Caenorhabditis elegans: one gene and its partner. The protein of the gene in region 1 purifies or fractionates together with the protein of each later gene. This does not show direct contact. Each region holds a gene or a part of one and is shown on either strand. Other genes may lie near its edges.

The links.
Region 2: the proteins of lst-4 (region 1) and apb-1 purify together in Caenorhabditis elegans (affinity purification with western blotting, with the first as the bait; one study listed by BioGRID). This does not show direct contact.

The regions. Positions count from the first base shown.
Region 1 is NC_003282.8:14,061,056-14,071,497, reverse strand, and holds the start of lst-4 (Sorting nexin lst-4), read left to right. Parts: upstream 1-3,027; coding exon 3,028-3,303; intron 3,304-4,468; coding exon 4,469-4,690; coding exon of another isoform or gene 4,691-4,765; intron 4,766-6,835; exon of another isoform or gene 6,836-6,838; coding exon of another isoform or gene 6,839-6,875; intron 6,876-7,096; coding exon of another isoform or gene 7,097-7,296; intron 7,297-8,070; coding exon 8,071-8,427; intron 8,428-8,467; coding exon 8,468-8,808; intron 8,809-8,873; coding exon 8,874-8,977; intron 8,978-9,032; coding exon 9,033-9,110; intron 9,111-9,169; coding exon 9,170-9,336; intron 9,337-9,895; coding exon 9,896-10,129; 3' UTR 10,130-10,442. UniProt on the Caenorhabditis elegans protein: Involved in the signaling of vulval development by acting as a negative regulator of epidermal growth factor receptor (EGFR) signaling. Aids in phagosomal membrane tubule formation which is required for phagosomal fusion with endosomes and lysosomes.
Region 2 is NC_003281.10:2,593,103-2,600,152, reverse strand, and holds the start of apb-1 (AP complex subunit beta), read left to right. Parts: upstream 1-3,118; 5' UTR 3,119-3,130; coding exon 3,131-3,167; intron 3,168-3,222; coding exon 3,223-3,464; intron 3,465-4,281; coding exon 4,282-4,675; intron 4,676-6,795; coding exon 6,796-7,050. Other genes in the region: mdt-19 (Mediator of RNA polymerase II transcription subunit 19), read right to left, coding at 599-839, 1,688-1,955, 2,002-2,092.

The DNA.
Region 1 (10,442 bases):
AATGAAGAAAAATCGATAATCCGAACAAATGTTGGTAGATCCGAGTATCCACAATAATTTGAAAAATTTGAATAAATAGGTTTGATAAACAACAATTGTTCAACAACAGTTAGCTCTGCGAGTAAATTTTGGGAACTAATTTTTCGAAATACTGACAGCCCCCATTTCAGCGAAAATTTACACGAATGAATGATTTTTAACAATTTCAGAACATCAGCATCTTACACCTGAACATAAATTTTAATCCTAATCCCTGAAAAAAGTGTGGGAATTCACAAAAACTGTGCAAAATGATAAAGTTTTCGTGAGAAGACGAACGACCGCGACGCAACGAGACAGCAAAACCGCATGGAGAGTGCAGAGAAAACGACATTCGCTTCGAGACCCTTCATCTGCAGGCCACCAATGCGCCTTTGATCTCGTACTGTCTGCGTATCACTTTCTCATAGAATTCTAGCGAGAATGTGGGAAATTTGTGAAAAATCAGGGTAAATTGACAATAACATAAATATTTTCGCGGGAAAATTCGAAAAATTGCTGATTTGATATCAGGAGAAATCGAGAAGAACTGAAAAATCAGGAAAAAACCGGTTCACCTTCCACCGCCTGGCAGGACAATCCGATTTTACGATCTCGCGTTCGGTTTGACCGTTTTTTTCTCTGCGCTTCTCGTATTTTTTTTCCGAAGTTGATTGGCTTTTGTGTTTGTGACCATAAAGCTGCTTCCTTTCATATAACTGTATTGCTTGCGTCACCCCCGGTGGTTTGTGTTGCGAAACCGTTTTCCAGATGATTTCGCAAGATATCGGATGTCGTTGGCTATGTCTAATTATATTTGTTTGAATAGGGAATTTTGTTGCTTTGCCGAAAAATATGTGCTAAACGAACACTTTGTGTGTTGTGTTTTCGGAATAATCGCATTAATTCTAGAAAAGTCTATAAGGAAGATTATAATTATTTCGTGGTCAATAATAAATTGCTGATCTTCTTATAAAAAAGTATAAAATCATAGATTGATATCACTGTGAAAGAAAAATTCTTGAAAATTAGTTGAAAAAATAATAAAAAATTGCTTACTGTAAGCGCGCTCCAATGACAATTTTTGGCTGTAAGTGCGCTCCATTGACAACTTTTTGCGGCGGGAATTTTAATATTTGAATTTATTTCGAAAAAAAATATTATTTTCGAGCGATAAAGGTTAATTTTGTCAGGTTTTTATGCGAATTTTTCCCATTTTTCTAAAATTAAATTGAACTGGACCCTTTCTAAAGTTTTTTCTGTGAAAATAACGAAAAAGCACTCTGTAAATTCTTCAAATTGCTGCATTTTGTCTTTTAACAGTGTTTTTTTTTACCCAAAAATGCACTTTCCCACCCAAAATTCAACAATTTTAATCATATGCCTATGGAAATTTGACACCTATTCCTCCTCCTCCCTAAAAAACTTCCCAATTTCACCAGTCATCACGAGTTGCCGCGTTGTGTATTGAAATATTGGCTGACTCATTGTTTATTTTTTATTGATTTCTCATATTCTCTGCTCGCTCGCTTTTTTTGACACTTATCAACTGAAAAACCTTGCTGAAAATTCAGTTTTACTCTTTTTCTGGAATATTTTAAATTAAAAATTAACATTTTTTTCAGAGAAATGGCTCAGGTGAAAGCCGAGTATGATTTTCAAAGTCAACCAAACACAGGCGAACTGTCAATCTCGGCTGGCGAAGTTTTGACGGTTATTCGAGAGGTAAGAGGCTTTTTGAGCAGGTGGAACAGAGTTGTTCGAGGATTTTTTGAATCGTAAAATGAAACAATCGGCTAAATTAATTTTGAATTCCCGCGTGAATAAATCGGCGTTTTCCCGTTTTCTGGCGAAATTCATCTGTTTTTTCTTAATTTTTTGTTTAATTTTTGTTTTAAAACACTGATTATTCGTTTTTCAGGCATTTTTCCGAAGCGAAAACTCGATTCCTCGAACAAAATACGCAGAAACTTTAAATCTGGCCAAACGTTGATAATTTACATAATTTTGTCAAACAAAAAAAAACTGATAAATGGTGTAAATTCATTGGTTTTGTCAGATTTCCAGGCGTTTTTCCTGAAAATTTCTTATCAATATATGAAATTCCTGATTTTTAGGCCAATTTTCGTCCGGAGAACAAGTTTTCTCCGCGGAAAAATGTCTGAAAAACTGATAAATGGCGTTTTAATTCAAATATCTCTTTAAAAAAATAAGAAAAACGAAAGAATTTACCCAAAAATGGAAAAAAAATCACAAAAAGAATTTATTATTCGATCATTTCAGCCCATTTTTTTCTATAATTTAAAGCAAAATCAAGAGTTTTTATTTCAGAACATCGACGGAGGATGGATAGAAGGTCGAAACGTGCGTGGATCCGTCGGACTCTTTCCCGAATCCTACGTAACTCCCTATCAAGCTTCTCGTCCGCCACCGGTAACCCATTTGTCTTCTAGTTAACCCACTTTCTCATCTATTTCCGGTTTTGATTGTATTTTGTGTGTGTGTGTGTGTGTCTTCGTTGTGTGTCTTCGTTGTGTGCATTTCTGCGGGGAGCATCTAAATTGGTTGTGGTGAGCCAAAAGCATCAAAATGATTGAAATTGCCTTCTCATCAGCATTTTGAGCTGCTGGAACCCTCTAGAAATCGCTGAATCTGATGCTTGTTTCCGAAAAATATTCAAAACGGAGAGAAAGATGAGTAAAAGCCCATGAAATTTGAATAATAAAAAAGATGGTGGAAGAAGAACGCAACAAAGAGGAGTGAGATGAAGCGGAAGAGACTGGAACAAAATAGAAAAAAAAAGAAAGAAAAACTATTTTGAAATTGGTTTTTCCTCGGGTCCCTGGAGACGTTCGGATCCTCCTACTCACTTGAAGACGGCGGTCCAGATACTTGAAAACAAAATAAGTAGATTCTCAAAGAAGCTCTATATACCTGATTCGTCTTATATTCCACTCATTCTGCCAAGAGATTTCCTACTTTTTATCCGACTTTTCGATCTTTTCGCGAATGCTCTTCACATCGAGTCTTCGAAAGGCCGTTGAGAACTACCCAACACCACCGGGCGGCTCATCTGAAGATGCTCATCGGCAGCTTCTCGAACGTCGTCGCAAACAGATGCTTCGACGACACACGTGTAGTACACTCATCAAACAAGACACATCTGCTTCACCGCATAAGATGAAGCCACCTATTCTGATGGAGGAAGAGGATGAACAGCATTCCACTGGGAAGCACTCGTCTAGAAAGAGCAGTTTTAAGAAAAGTGGAGCAATATCGAAGAGTGTAGGGGTTTTGTGTAGAAGATAATCTTTTCGATTCTTTCCAAACCTCTCAGAAATTCCTCGAAATTCTGAGGCAAATTCATAGGTGCACGTGGTGTCAGAGTGTCTCATTTCGGTTTGACCTACGTAGATCTACAAAAAATGCGGGAGAAGAAACGCAGAGTTCTCCACTAATTTCGTATGGTTAAGAACGTGCTGACGTCACATATTTTTGGGCGAAAATGCCCGCATTTTTTGTAGATCAAACCGTAATGGGACAGCCTGGCACCACGTGTAGGTGCCAAACAGAGTAAATTTTGACAATTTGAAATTTACATTCGCTCACATGGTGCCAGGCCGTCCCATTACGGTCTGATCTACAAAAAAAATGCGGGAATTTTTTGCCCAACAATGTGACGTCAGCACGTTCTTTACAATTCAAAATCAGATGAGAACTCTGCGTCTCTTCTCCCGCATTTTTTTTGTAGATCAACGTAGATCAAACCGAAATGGGAAACTCTGACACCATGTGTTCGCTACCAAACTTAATGAGGTCGATCCTCAAATAGGACACCGCTGGAGACTCCACAAAAGCTCACAACAGATTTGTTTTGTTATTCTACAGTAATCCTACAGTACTCCTACCGTACCATATCACAAAATAGAGCTCTAGTAGTTGGTTACGGGTCTCACCACGCTGACAACAAGTTTCTGTTACTCGTGTCGATTTACAGTTGTCAGCGTGGCGAGACCCATTTTCTTGTGACGTATACGTAATAACTGTAGCTCCCAGAGTGCTCCATTCCGGCTTGATCTACGTTGATCTACAAAAAACGCGCGAATTGAGACGTAGAGTTATCCACTGATTTCGCACAGTACCATTTCGCTTTGATCTTCGAAAATGCGGGAGAAGAGACGCAGACATCTCATCTGATTTCGCATGGTTAAGAGCGTGCTGAAGTCACAATTTTTCTTGAAAAGTATCCCCGCATTTTTCGTAGATCAAACCGCAATGAGACAGCCTGACACCACGTGTGCACGGTTAAAAACGTGCTGACGTCACATTTTGTCGGGCAAAAAATCCCGCATTTTTTGTAGATCAATCCGTGATGGGACCACATGACACACAGATCCCATTTCAATTTTCTAACTTTTTAAACAATTTCATAAATACTCAAAAATTCCAGGTCCTACCACCACCACTCCCACCAACTTCAAGCGGTCCACCAGCTGCCTCATCGCGTCCTTTTGATGATTGGGGAGGCGCTTCAGAAGTTGCTGCTCCACCATCCTACGGAGCCCAACATCATCATCAGCCAACGCCATCTGTACCGGAAGTCACTAGATCTTCATATCCATCACAGAATGATGATTTTGACGATGAATGGACGGATGAGGATGATGAGCAGGTATTTTTAAAATTTTATTTTAATTTTTTGATTGTCCAGTTTCTGTCCGTCCTATTTATACCCTCTAACTCCTAAATCTATATATCCTAAAAGACCAAACGAAAAGTCCAAAAAGAATAGTCATCCTCCTCAAAAATCGCCGGGAAACGACATCGTTGTCGTCGCCGCCGCAACTTGGTTTCCGGTAGAAGTCGTCTCTCCACTCCGTCGCCGCTGGACCCTCTTCTCTTCGGACATTTCATTTCTAATCATTCGAAATTCTCTCTCTTCGTCGTCGGCTGCGACTATTTAAATGTCATCCAGATTTATTTGCTACTACTACAACAACTTCTGCTGCTGCTGAAATTTTCGCGAATGCTGTTTGCTCGTGGACGATCCTCGAGCTTTATCGCTCTAGATCATCTACAAGTTAATCAGTCGCCGTCGTTTCAAAATGTAAAGGACATTTTTATTTAACTGGGATTTTTTATTTAGAATTTTTTTAAGTTTATAGGTTTTATTAATTTTACTCCAACTAACTCTAGCATTCAAAGGTTTTTTCTTAATACACGTGAAGTCAGAAAGTCCCATTTCGCACTTTGATCTTCGAAAAATGCGGGAGGTGAGACGTAGACATTTCAACCAGGGGTGTGCGGCAAATTTGCCGAATTTGTCGAATTTGCCGTTTGCCGAGCTCGGCAAATTTCAAAAAAGTAGATTTGCCGAATTTGCCGAGCTCGGCAAATTTCGAAATTTGCCGCACACGTCAAAAATTTGACAGTACAATTTTGACTAAAACTATTGATTTTTTAGCCAAAAATTTAGTAAAATGATACAAAATTGAGCTATTTTGATGCTTAAACAGACATACTACGCGGAACTTATTCAGAAACCAGATGTGTGTTAAGAATTCAGTAGTTTTGGTGCTCCAAAAAACATAAAAAAAATATCAAATTTTTCCGAGTTTGTTAAGCACGGCGAGTTTGCCGAATTTGCCGAATTTGCCGAGCTCGGCAACTTTGCCGAATTTGCCGTGCTCGGCAAATATTGAAAAAAAGAGATTTTCCGAATTTGCCGAGCTCGGCAAATTTTGAGATTTGCCGCACACCCCTGATTTCAACTGATTTCGTTGATAGCGTGCTAACGTCGTAATTTTTCTGGGAGAAAATTCACGATTTTTTTGTAGATCAAACTGTATTGGGACACACCGCTCCACTGCAAATGAAAACTCTCCGCCCCCAATAAAATAGGTCTCGTTGGGTATTAAACGTGCTCAAAAAAATCATTAAAACAACGGAAAATTCTCAAAAATTGGCGAAACTGATACCTAACGCCAAATACACGGGGTGTCAGGCTGTCCCATAACGGTTTGATCTACAAGACGCGGGAATTTTTCGCCCAGAAAAATGCGACGTCAGCACGCTCTTAACCATACGAAATTTGCTGAAAAATCTGCGTCTAAATTCCCGCATTTTTTGTAGATCACGCCGAAGTGAGACACTTTGACACCAATACCTAACGAGACCTATGGTTCGGGGGCGGAGCACCTTTTCATGTCGGTTTCAAAATTAATACTACGCATACAATTAAAAAATCACCCTGAAAAACAAAAAAAAAACCCAAATTTTCTTCTCAAAAATAGGGATATCCCTTCTCAACTGCTCTTTGCAACACCCCGCGCTTTATATGTGCAAGCATCTCTCCTGATTGCTGCTATTGAGAATCCCCCAGCACTCTCCACCAGCTCATTTTTGCTCTGTCGCCACCCGACGCCTCTCGAAAACTATCATCATGTGTTGAGTCTTTTTTGGTGATCCTATTGGATATCCATACTCACATATATATATATATATGTATATATATATATATACATATATCCATATATATATATACATGCAAAAATGCGTCGACTGCGTCAATCGGACGCCGACGTCTTCTTCTATAACCGTCCTATTCCTATTACTGAAATTCGTGGATTTCATAGGGCGAGCGTCTCGTTCTCACCGTCGTGGGTTCGTTTTTAGATATTTTAGGGGAAACGTTCAGCGTTCTAGCACTTTTTGTAATCCGTTGATTAAGGAACACCGTCTGTCCGTCCATGATCAAGTTGTGAATTATCAAAACTCGATTCGTCATCATCATCATCGTGCAAGTGGGTCTCGAACGGATATGTCCACTGACGACGAGACGAGGAGTAGTCAGCAAGGTTATTAGAATAGTTCTTGTCGGCGAAGCATTCGGACATCTATTACACATTCGTTGGAAGGTTAGATATTGAAGAAGAGATGATGTTCCTCGCAACGAAAAAACGTGGAGCCACGTGGCTTCTCTGTTTCTCTCTTTTCGATCTCTCATTTCCCGCGAATGTGCAATTACAAGATTTTCAAAGCATAGTGGCTTTAACAACGCTCACACATCTCATTGCAGACGGTGCCTACCCCTCTAGCAAAAGAAACGGTAGTGTGGGCTCGTCTACCCGCTCCACGAGCACCAAAAAGCGCTTGAGTAGGCAAGATAGCACCGCCCGACGGAGACGTCTCAGTGAGGAGAGAGATAGTCGACGGAGAGTTGAGAAGTCGGTGAGCTCGTGTTTGAGCTCGAATCGGTCTCACCACGATCAGAATAAGGTTCGGGTTGTTCGATAAGTTGTTTCAAGTGGTGTCAGAAAGTCTCAATCAGGGCTGAGCAGTCGCCCAAAAAAATCGGCGATCGGCGATCGCCGATCGCCCAAACTTTTTTTTTTTCGGCGATCGGCGATCACCAATTTCCGAAAAATTTCGGCGATCGGCGATCACCAATTTCCGAAAAATTTCGGCGATCGCCGATTGCCGATCGCCGATCGGCTATTTTAACCGAGTTATTCGGTCAAAACACCTTTCCGTTTTTTTGTTTGGTAAGGAAATGCGACGAAAAATTAACATTTACTCAAAAAAAAAATTAAAAACAACAAAACAATCGTTTAAAAAAAACATGAGATTTTAAAAATCGAGATGAATTTATTGAAAAATTCCATCGGCGATCGGCGATCGCCGATCGCCGAAAAATCACGAAAATCGCCGATCACCGATCGCCGATTGCCGCTCACCCCTGGTCTCAATGCGGTCTGATCTACAAAAAATGCGGAAATTTTTCGCCCAAAAAAATTGTGACGTCAGCACACTCTTAACCATGCGAAATCAGATGTCTGCGTCTCACTTCCCGCATTTTTCGTAGATCAGAGCGAAGCGGGACTTTCTGACTCCACGTGTTGTTTGAGGCGTACGGGACTGCTCGTTGTTCTGATTGGCTTAAAGTATCAAGCTTCCTTAACTATTGAGGTTGTTATGTAACGCATGCATGTTTTCCTTATTTGTGTCCAAAAAGTTATAAAATAAAAAAAATCAAAAAATTCCGATTTCCAGGAACCAACTCGGCCCAACGTTCAATCCTCGATCGGCTCGAACTCCCGTCGTGACCTCAGCCGTAGCCACTCGGAACACGGTGGACCTGATCGAGGATCCAATAAGGTCAACAAGAACATCAATCGATTCTCGAATTTTGTAAAGTCCGGAGTCGAAGCGTACGTGATTGGTGAATCAAAGACCACCTCACAGATTAGTGAACGACATGAAGTTGTGATGAACAATGGAATTATTCAATGGAAACCGATTCAACAGTACTACACGTGTATAGTGGATAAACCGAAGAAAGAGTCAAAGCTGAAAGGGCTGAAGAGCTTCATCGCATATTCGATTACGTCGAGTTTGACTAATATTCAGGTAAATTTGTAGATTTCGACGCTTACTAACCGCTTGCTAGCGTCAGGTATCCCGTCGCTACAAGCATTTCGATTGGCTCCACGAGCAGCTATCGGCTAAATATGTGCTCATTCCGATTCCACCGTTGCCAGAGAAACAGGTCGCCGGAAGATACGAGGAGGATCTTATTGATCATCGGAAGCACATTCTTCAGTTATGGGTCAACAAGATTTGTAGGCATCCAGTGTTGAGTCAGTCGGAAGTTTGGCTCCACTTTATCAGTTGCACCGACGAAAAAGATTGGAAGAATGGGAAGCGGCGAGCTGAAAAGGATGAATACATTGGTGGAGCTTTCCTGAACTGTATCACTGTTCCACATCAACCATTGGATCCGAATAATGTGTAAGAAACTAATAGAATTCTACGCAGAAAGTTTGATAATCCTGCGTAATCCTACATGTTTCCAGCGATATGCAAGTTGAACGATTCCAACGGAGCGTCAAAACATCGGAAGAAGCGATGCGTGTGATGCAGGAGAGAATGAACATGTTCCAGAAGGTCTTCGCTGGACGTATGTTGGAAATTTTCGAGCTTTAAAAATTTAAATTAAAAAAATCAAATTTCAGCGGTAAAACAAAATTGGCAAAAGATGGGAAGCGCGTTCAAGACACTTCAGCAATCTTTTGAGATTGATGAGACCGTTGGTATGAATCTTTGGATTTTTAAAAGTTCTTGGATAAATTTAAAAATTCTAATTTTTCAGCCAGTCGCCGCCTGACAGAAGCTCTCGCCTACACTGCATCAGAATATCATGAAATTGGGCAAGTATTCGATGCGCACACGAAGAATGACATGGAACCAGTGCTTGAGAACCTTTATTCGTATAAGGGAACAGTGCAAAATGTGCCGGATATTATTCAAGTGCACAAGGTACTGAACAGAGGCCCTTATATCCTGAAGTGGAAGAGTTTTTGAGGGTTGGGAAACTCTGCCAGGACCGCGACGCAGCCGCGTGCGGAGCGGCTCGAATTAATGTTTATTTTAGACGTTTGCCAAGAATGCGTGATTTTCCTTCATTTTTTGGATTTTTTTTGCGTTTACATGGAGGTTGTCAAATTTTCGAATTATAACAAATCTAAAAATATTAAATTTTTAAGAAATAAATTGAAAATGTTCGTTTTTCCGTTTTTTCGAAAAATATCTTTAAATTTTAACAATTTCTTCTTTTTTTAAGGAAAAGTTTAAAAAATAAACAAAACTTGGTAAAAATAGATTTAAAAAACCTTTATTCTCTGAAAAAATCGAAAATTTTGAAGATTTAAATGAAAAATCACGCATTCTGGGCAAAAAATAAAATAAACTTTTCTCGATCGAGCCGCGCCGCTCGCACCTGCGTCGCGGTCATTAACCCCTCCCATTTCAAGATATGACAGAATCTGAAAGCCCGTGGCAAAAGCCTAAAAACATTCAAAACCCAACAATTTTCCAGCAAGCTGTTCAAAAGTTCCGTGACAGCGAAGGACGTCTCTCGTCGGCCGAGGCTGAAAAGATGAAGCAAAGAATCGATGCGATGAGCTACACTGTAATTGCTGAAGTTCAACATCAAACAGCAGAGAAAGTGGAGGATATGAAATCGACAATGGGCACATATTTGAAGAAACAAGCAATGTTTTATCAGGAAGTGGCGACCAAGCTGACTTCATTAGCCGCTAGATATGATTGATTTTTATTGATTTTTATTATTTGATTGCCTTTTTGTGTCAGAAATCGTTTTCCCCCCATAATTTCCCCCATCATTAAAATCGAGCTAGCTTCTTTTTTTTTGAGTCAAATTCCGAATGTTCATATATTTTCTTCCTACTTTCTAATCCATAATTTTTTGTGCAATTCTACTAAATTCCCGTGATTTCAACTCGCCACATTCTTTGTACCATATATGATGATTGCTTCGTTCACATTTGAAAAAAATCCCCTTTTTGAATATTTATTCGCCTGGTTTCCCCCGTTTTTCTAGTTGCATTATGAGTTGAAAAATC
Region 2 (7,050 bases), on another chromosome or scaffold:
AAATCGCATAAATGCGTTTTTTAAATTTTTTTTTTTTACCAAAAACTAGAAGATTTCTTCAAAAAATTGGGTTTTTTCCAATTTTATCACTTTTGGCGATAATTTTTTTAAAGAATCCTCAATAATTTTTTCCAAATTTTCTAGCTCTTTTACGTTCAAAAAATCAACTGAAAAAATTATGTTTTTTTTCTTAAAATTTTACTCGAAATTCTCATAATTTGCTAATTATTTTTCCTAAATTTCGCGCGAAAATCATCTGAAAATTGAATTAAAAATGCTTTTTAATCGAAAATTTAATTTATTTTGACTTTTTCTTCAAATTCCATGTAAAAATACACTGAAAACTTGGAAAATCGGTGAAAAATAAGGCAAAATAACAATAAATAAATAATAAAACGGAAATTCAAATCGGAATTTGGCAAAAACTGAGATTTTTTCAATTTAAAAAAAATCATATAAATTTTAGAAATTTTTTTTGAATTTTTTTATCATGATATTCGGTCATTGAGGCACTGGCGCTACACCACCTTTAATAAATACGACTTTTTTATTCATTTTTTTTCCTCAAAATTGAGCTTAAACCCACCCAAAATCCCCCCTAAAACTCCATTGGCTCATCGGCGGCTCTTTTTCTTTTCTCCGCATCGCCTAATTCTTCTTTTTCCTTCTTTCTCTTCTTATCCTTCTTCTTTTTCTTGTGTTTCTTCGGAAATCCTTTCTCCGTCTCATCATCATCAAATCCATATGCGTCGTATTGTTGCCGAACCCGTATTAAATTCAATTTCTCGCTGTACGCCAGATTTGGTTCCTCTTTTCGGCGCTCGAATAGGTGGCGATATCTGGAAAAATTTAATTTTAATTAATTAATCTTATTTTGTGGAATTTTTATCGATTTCGCGCAAAAAATGACAAAAAGAAGTTAAAAATGCCTCCCGTAAATCTACAAAATTAAAGGCGCATGGTCTCTTGCGCTGGTTGGGTCTCACAACGATCACTACAAAAATGCAAGAATTTGTCTGAAAAATAGCGGAAAAATTATTTAAAAGTTTAAAATGTTGGTGTTGACCTGTAAAATTGAATATTTAATCTTATTTTGTGGAATTTTCATCGATTTCGTGCAAAAATTGGACCAAAAACTATTAAAACCGTTGGGTCTCGCAGCGATTTCTACAAAAATAGGAGAATTAATTAAAAAATTTCGGACATTTGATTAAAACGTTCGAAATAGTGGCGATAAGCTTATTTTGTCGAAACTTCACCGTTTTCGTTCAAAAATTGGGCTAAAACTGTTAAAAAATTATTTCCGTAAATCTACAAAATTAAAGGCGCATGGTCTCTATTGATTGTTGAGTCTCGCAACGATCACTACAAAAATGCCAGAATTAATTCAAAAATTTGCGGAAATTGAATTAAAATGTTCGAAAGAGTGGCGCTGTGCTTATTCAGTTGAATTTCCACCGTTTTTGTGCAAAAATTGGCCTAAAACTATTTAAAATGCCACCAGTAAATCTACAAAAATTAAAGGTGCATGGTCCCTATCGTCCGTTGGGTCTCGCAGCGATTTCTACAAAAATGGGAGAAATGTTTAAAAATAGCGAAATTCCGCAATATTTTGCGGAAAACATCAAAATTAATGGGAAATTTCAATTTTAAATCAGAAAAATCTAGAACATCGTCGAATTTGCACCTTTCATCGACGGGCCCAGCAGAAAGCTTGAATCCCTGCATCGAAGAGCTCGTCAAATTCGAAATTTCCTTGTGAATCGGCGGTTTTTCGATGAGAGCTCGCAGTGAGCTCGCCTCTTTCGTCGCGTCCAAGTGAAATTCGCCGATTATATGCGGCAAAAACGAGGAGATTTTCTCCTTAACTCGTCTGCTACCACTGAATCCTCCCTCAACAGGCCCGAGCTCGTACGACATGAGAAGATCGTGATTTCCCTGAATTTCGCTGTACGCTGGAATAAAAAATTGGGTTTTGAGCAGATTTTTGAAGAAACTCACGTGGAAGTAGAGCTTTTAATGTGTAAAATGGCTCGTTTTTCGAGCTTTTGCTCTTTACGGGCGGCCCCGAGCAGGCCGATGGCTCGTTCATGCCTGAAATTGTAATTTTAAGCCGGGAGATTTTTAAAATTCAATTAATTTAATTGAAAGAGGGAAAATATTGAAAAAAAAGTGGGATTTTTCCAGCAAAATCCTAGAATTTGAGTGAAAAAGTAAGCTTTTTTTTGGTTTGAAGTTTGTTTTGAAACATTTTTGAGTCAATTTCGCCTAATTTTTGGGGTTTCAGCGGTAAAAAAAAACTTTTTTTTTCAGTTCTAAAGACTAAAAAAGTACAGATTTAGGCCTTTTTTTAAATTTTTTGTTTGAAACTAGATTCGAAACAAGTCATTTTTCGCAATATTCGGCTAATTTCAGTAGTTTCAGAGATTATAAGTCTGCAAAGTTGAAGATGACCACAGGGATTTCAAAAATATTCCAGAAAACTGGAATGTTTCTGGAAAAAAAAAATCGAAAAACTATATAAAAAGTGAAAAAAGGTCAGAAATTCGTTTTTTTTTTTAACTTTTCTTTTGCTTTAATTTGCGCGGGAATTCAAAAATAACTTGGAAAATGCAATATTTCGGAAAAAATTAGCCAGAAACATGAAAATTGGTGTAACGAACAAATTGTGGATAATTTTTGGTCAAAATAGTAAATTTTTAATAACAATAATTCATATTTTATCAACTTTATGCGAAAAATGTATCAAAAAACCAGATTCATCAACGATTTCTTTCAAAAAAACATTAAAAAACGTTTAAAATCGAGAAATTAAAATAAAAATAAAATAAATCCAAAAACGCGCAAAGGCTCCCCACTGACGCGTTTCCCCGATTTGCTTGCGCACTTTCCGTGGCCACTTTTATCCCTTTTTCTCTGTCCTTCTCTCTCCCTTTTCGGCAATATTTGGAGGTTTTGCGGGACGGAAATCTTTGCGCACACGGCAACTTATCGATTTTTCATTCTTTTCCGCCCAAAATTCTGCATCTCCGCCAACTTCTGCGGCTCCAATTTCCTTGAAACCTCGATTTTATTACGAAAATTTGAATTTTTACCCTTTTTCACATTTATCTTTCAGGGGTATCACAAGATGACCGACTCCAAATATTTCACCACCACAAAGAAAGGTATTTTTATATCGTTTTCAATGAATTTAACTCAAATTTCCAATTTTTATTGCAGGAGAAATATTCGAACTGAAAAATGAGCTCAACTCTGACAAAAAGGAGAAGAAAAAAGAGGCTGTGAAGAAGGTTATCGCCAGTATGACAGTCGGAAAAGACGTCAGCGCTCTATTTCCCGATGTGGTGAATTGTATGCAGACGGATAATGTTGAATTGAAGAAATTAGTCTATCTGTATTTGATGAATTACGCGAAATCGCAGCCTGATCTCGCGATTATGGCGGTTAACACGTTTGTTAAGGTAGGGGAGACAGCTTGAGAAGGTTCAAAAGTAGAAAATTGGCTCAAAAAGTTGTAAAAATTGCTCGAAAAGCTGAAAATTCGCTCAAAAAGCTGAAAATTTTGCTCAAACGCTGAAAATTTGCTCAAATGCTGAAAATTCGCTCCAAAAGCTGAAATTTTGCTTAAATATATAAGAAATTCGCCCAAAAGCTGCAAACACTCCCGCGCGAATTGTCTTTGTTTTTTCTCATTTAAAACTTGAAAATAAAATTATTTTAAATTTAAAAATACCATTATTATCCCAGACGTTTCAGATTTCCCGGCAAAATTCTCCGAATTTTCGTAAAACCGGGGAAAAATTATAAAAATGGCATTTTTCCGGGGAAAAGCAAGAACAAACCAGATTTTTTCAGCTTTTTTCGGTCGTTTTTCGGAAATTTTTAATAATTTTGCACTTTTTTCAGGACTGTGAAGATCCAAATCTTGAGAAAATAGTGGAAATTTTCCCCAAAAAGCTGTTAAATTTGCAGAGGAGCAACTTTTTATCACTTTTGAGAGGAAAATTACATTTTTTGCGGGTTTTTTCCTTCAGTTCATTTTTACTCAAAAAGCTGTTAAACTTGCTTAAAAACTGTAAAAATGCCCCGCGCGAATTTTTTTTTTGTTTTTTCTCGTTTAAAGCTTGAAAATAACATTTTTTAAATCAAAAATACCATAATTTTCCTCGAAAAATCATTAAAATGACAATTTTCCGGGAAAAAAACAGGAAAAAACCGATTTTTCAGCTTTTTTCGGTCATTTTTCGGAAATTTTCAATAATTTTCCTAATTTTTCAGGACTGTGAAGATCCGAATCCTCTAATCCGTGCACTTGCTGTCCGTACAATGGGATGTATTCGCGTTGAAAAGATCACCGAATACCTCTGTGATCCTCTCCGTCGATGTATGAAGGATGAGGATCCATACGTTCGAAAAACCGCCGCAGTCTGTGTTGCAAAGCTTCACGACATGAATCCGGCTCTTGTGAAGGAGCAGGGATTCGTTGAGTTGCTCAACGATCTACTCTCCGATGCCAATCCGATGGTTGTGGCGAATGCGGTTGCCGCGTTGACTGAAATGAATGAGCAACAGACTGTAATTGAAGTGAATAGTCAAATGGTTAATAAACTATTGACTGCGTTGAATGAGTGTACTGAATGGGGACAAGTATTCATTTTGGATGCTCTTGCAGGTAAAAATTCAGCAAAAAAGTGTTGAAAATCGTGGAAAAAAAGTGAAAAAATCGTAAAATTGAGCAATTTTTCACCTAAAAAACTTAAAAAAAGCTTTCAAGGTGTGTAGTCGAATTTTTTCAAATTGCCTTATTAGACTCAAAATTGTCTGAAAGCATCGAATTTTGTTAATGAAACTTCTCGATCGATTTTTTACACTTTAGAATTCCAGCTTCAAGAGATTAAAAAAAACCAGAAAACCTACATATAAATAAGATTTTTCGGTTTTCAAATTCTTTATCTGCCGATCCTGACGAATTTCGCATGAAAAAGCTAGAAAATTGTATTTTTTTTTCCTAGAAAACCCCAAATTTACAATAAAAACCTCTAATTTCAGATTTCAGAGGCGAAAACTCGAAATTGATATTCAAAATAGCTTCAAAACCGAGAAAAATCCAATAAAATAAATAATATAGTTCTGAAAAACGCTTTAATTTTAAAATTTCGAAGTAAAACATTTTTTTTCTTCCTAGAAAATTAGAAAAAATCTGCAAAAATTTAATTTTCTGATAGTTTTTTTTTTGAGAAAAATTGAAAATTTGCAGTTGGAAAAAAAAAGAAAATTGAAATCCAGAGAAAAATCTGAAAACAAATCGAAATTTTATAGTTTTTAACAGAAAAAAAATCGATTTTTTACACTTTAAAATTATAGCTTGAAGAGATTTCTAAAAAACGAGAAAATTCAATTATTAGCTTACATTTTCTATTAAATACAAAATTTAGATTTTTCGGTTTTCAAATTCTTTTGCTGCCGATCCTGACGAATTTCGCATGAAAAATCTTGAAAATTGTATTTTTTTTCTAAGAAAACCCCAAATTTGCAACAAAAACCGCTACTTTCGAATTTCAGCGGCGAAAAGTCTTTATTTTTCCGAAACTGATAGTGAAAATAGGTTTAAAAAGCACAGCAAAACGTTTTAATTTTGATATTTCAAAGTATTTCTATGACAAAAAATTCCAGAAACTTTATGAAAATTCTGATCTGATACTCAGTTTTAGTAATATAAGCCGGTTTTTTCCTCAAAAAACCAAAAGTTGAAAAAAAATTCCATTAAAAACTTAGACCTGAAAAATAAAAAATTCTAGAGAAATTTCTAATTTTTTGCTCAATTTGCAAAAAAAAAAACTCCAAAAAATCTTAAATTCCAGGCTACATATTTCCACCATTTTTTTTTGGTTTTTTCTCTCGAAATTCTAGTTCTTCATCATTTTTTCTATTATAGAGACGCAGAAAAATGCGTATTTTTGAAATTGATGTGTGCAAGTGCGCTCCACGGCCAACTGTTAGGTCTCGTTAGGCATTTGGCGGCAAAACGCTAAATTTTTTGTAAAATTCGGCTCAAACATCTGTAAAAACAATTTTTTCCAAAAAATGAAGAAAAATCTGCAAAAATTTCATTTTCTGATGGATTTTTGAGAAAAATCGCAAATTTATAATTTTTTTTTTCAGGAAAATTGAAAACTCCCGAGCTTCTACTAGGAAAAATCTAAATCGCGCTTGCATGAAAATTGTAGGAAATTTGCAAATTTTCGATTTTCCAAAAAATCCTAAATTTCAGGCTAAAACAATTTTTAAAAATGCAAATTAATTTCAAATAATCAAATTCTTTAAAAAAAATCGTTTTTTTTTTCGATATTTTTGGTTTTTAGCTTCGAAATTCCAGCCATTTTTGCTCAATTTTCCATAAAATCTTAAATTCCAAGTTGAAAAACTTGAAAAAAAAAGAATTAATTTAAAATAATTAAATTCTTTTAAAAAAATCGTTTTTTTTTCGATTTTTCCGATTTTTAACATTGAATTCCCGCCTTTTTGCTCAATTTTCCAAAAAAAAAATCTAAAATTCCAGGCTAAAAAAATTAAAAAATGCAAATTAATTTCAAAAAATAAAATTCGAGAAAAAACGTTTTTTTGTTAAATTTTTTTAAAAAGATTTTTCAAAATTTTTAACATCGAAACTCCCGCGTTTTTGCTCAATTTTCCATAAAATTTTTAAATTCAAGCTAAGAAAGTTAAAAAAAAGCGTTTTTTTTTGTTGATTTTTTCCGGCTTTTTTCCAAAAAAAAAAATCTAAAATTCCAGGCTACACCCCACGAGACGAACGTGAAACTCAAAACATTTGTGAGCGAATCTCTCCCCGTCTGGCTCACGCCAACGCCGCCGTCGTTCTCTCCACCGTAAAAGTGCTCATGAAGCTGATCGACATGATGCCAGCAGATTCGGACTTTATCACCCAACTCACGAAGAAGCTCGCACCACCAATGGTTACCCTGCTCTCGGCGGAGCCCGAAATTCAATATGTCGCACTGCGAAACATCAATTTGATCGTTCAAAAAC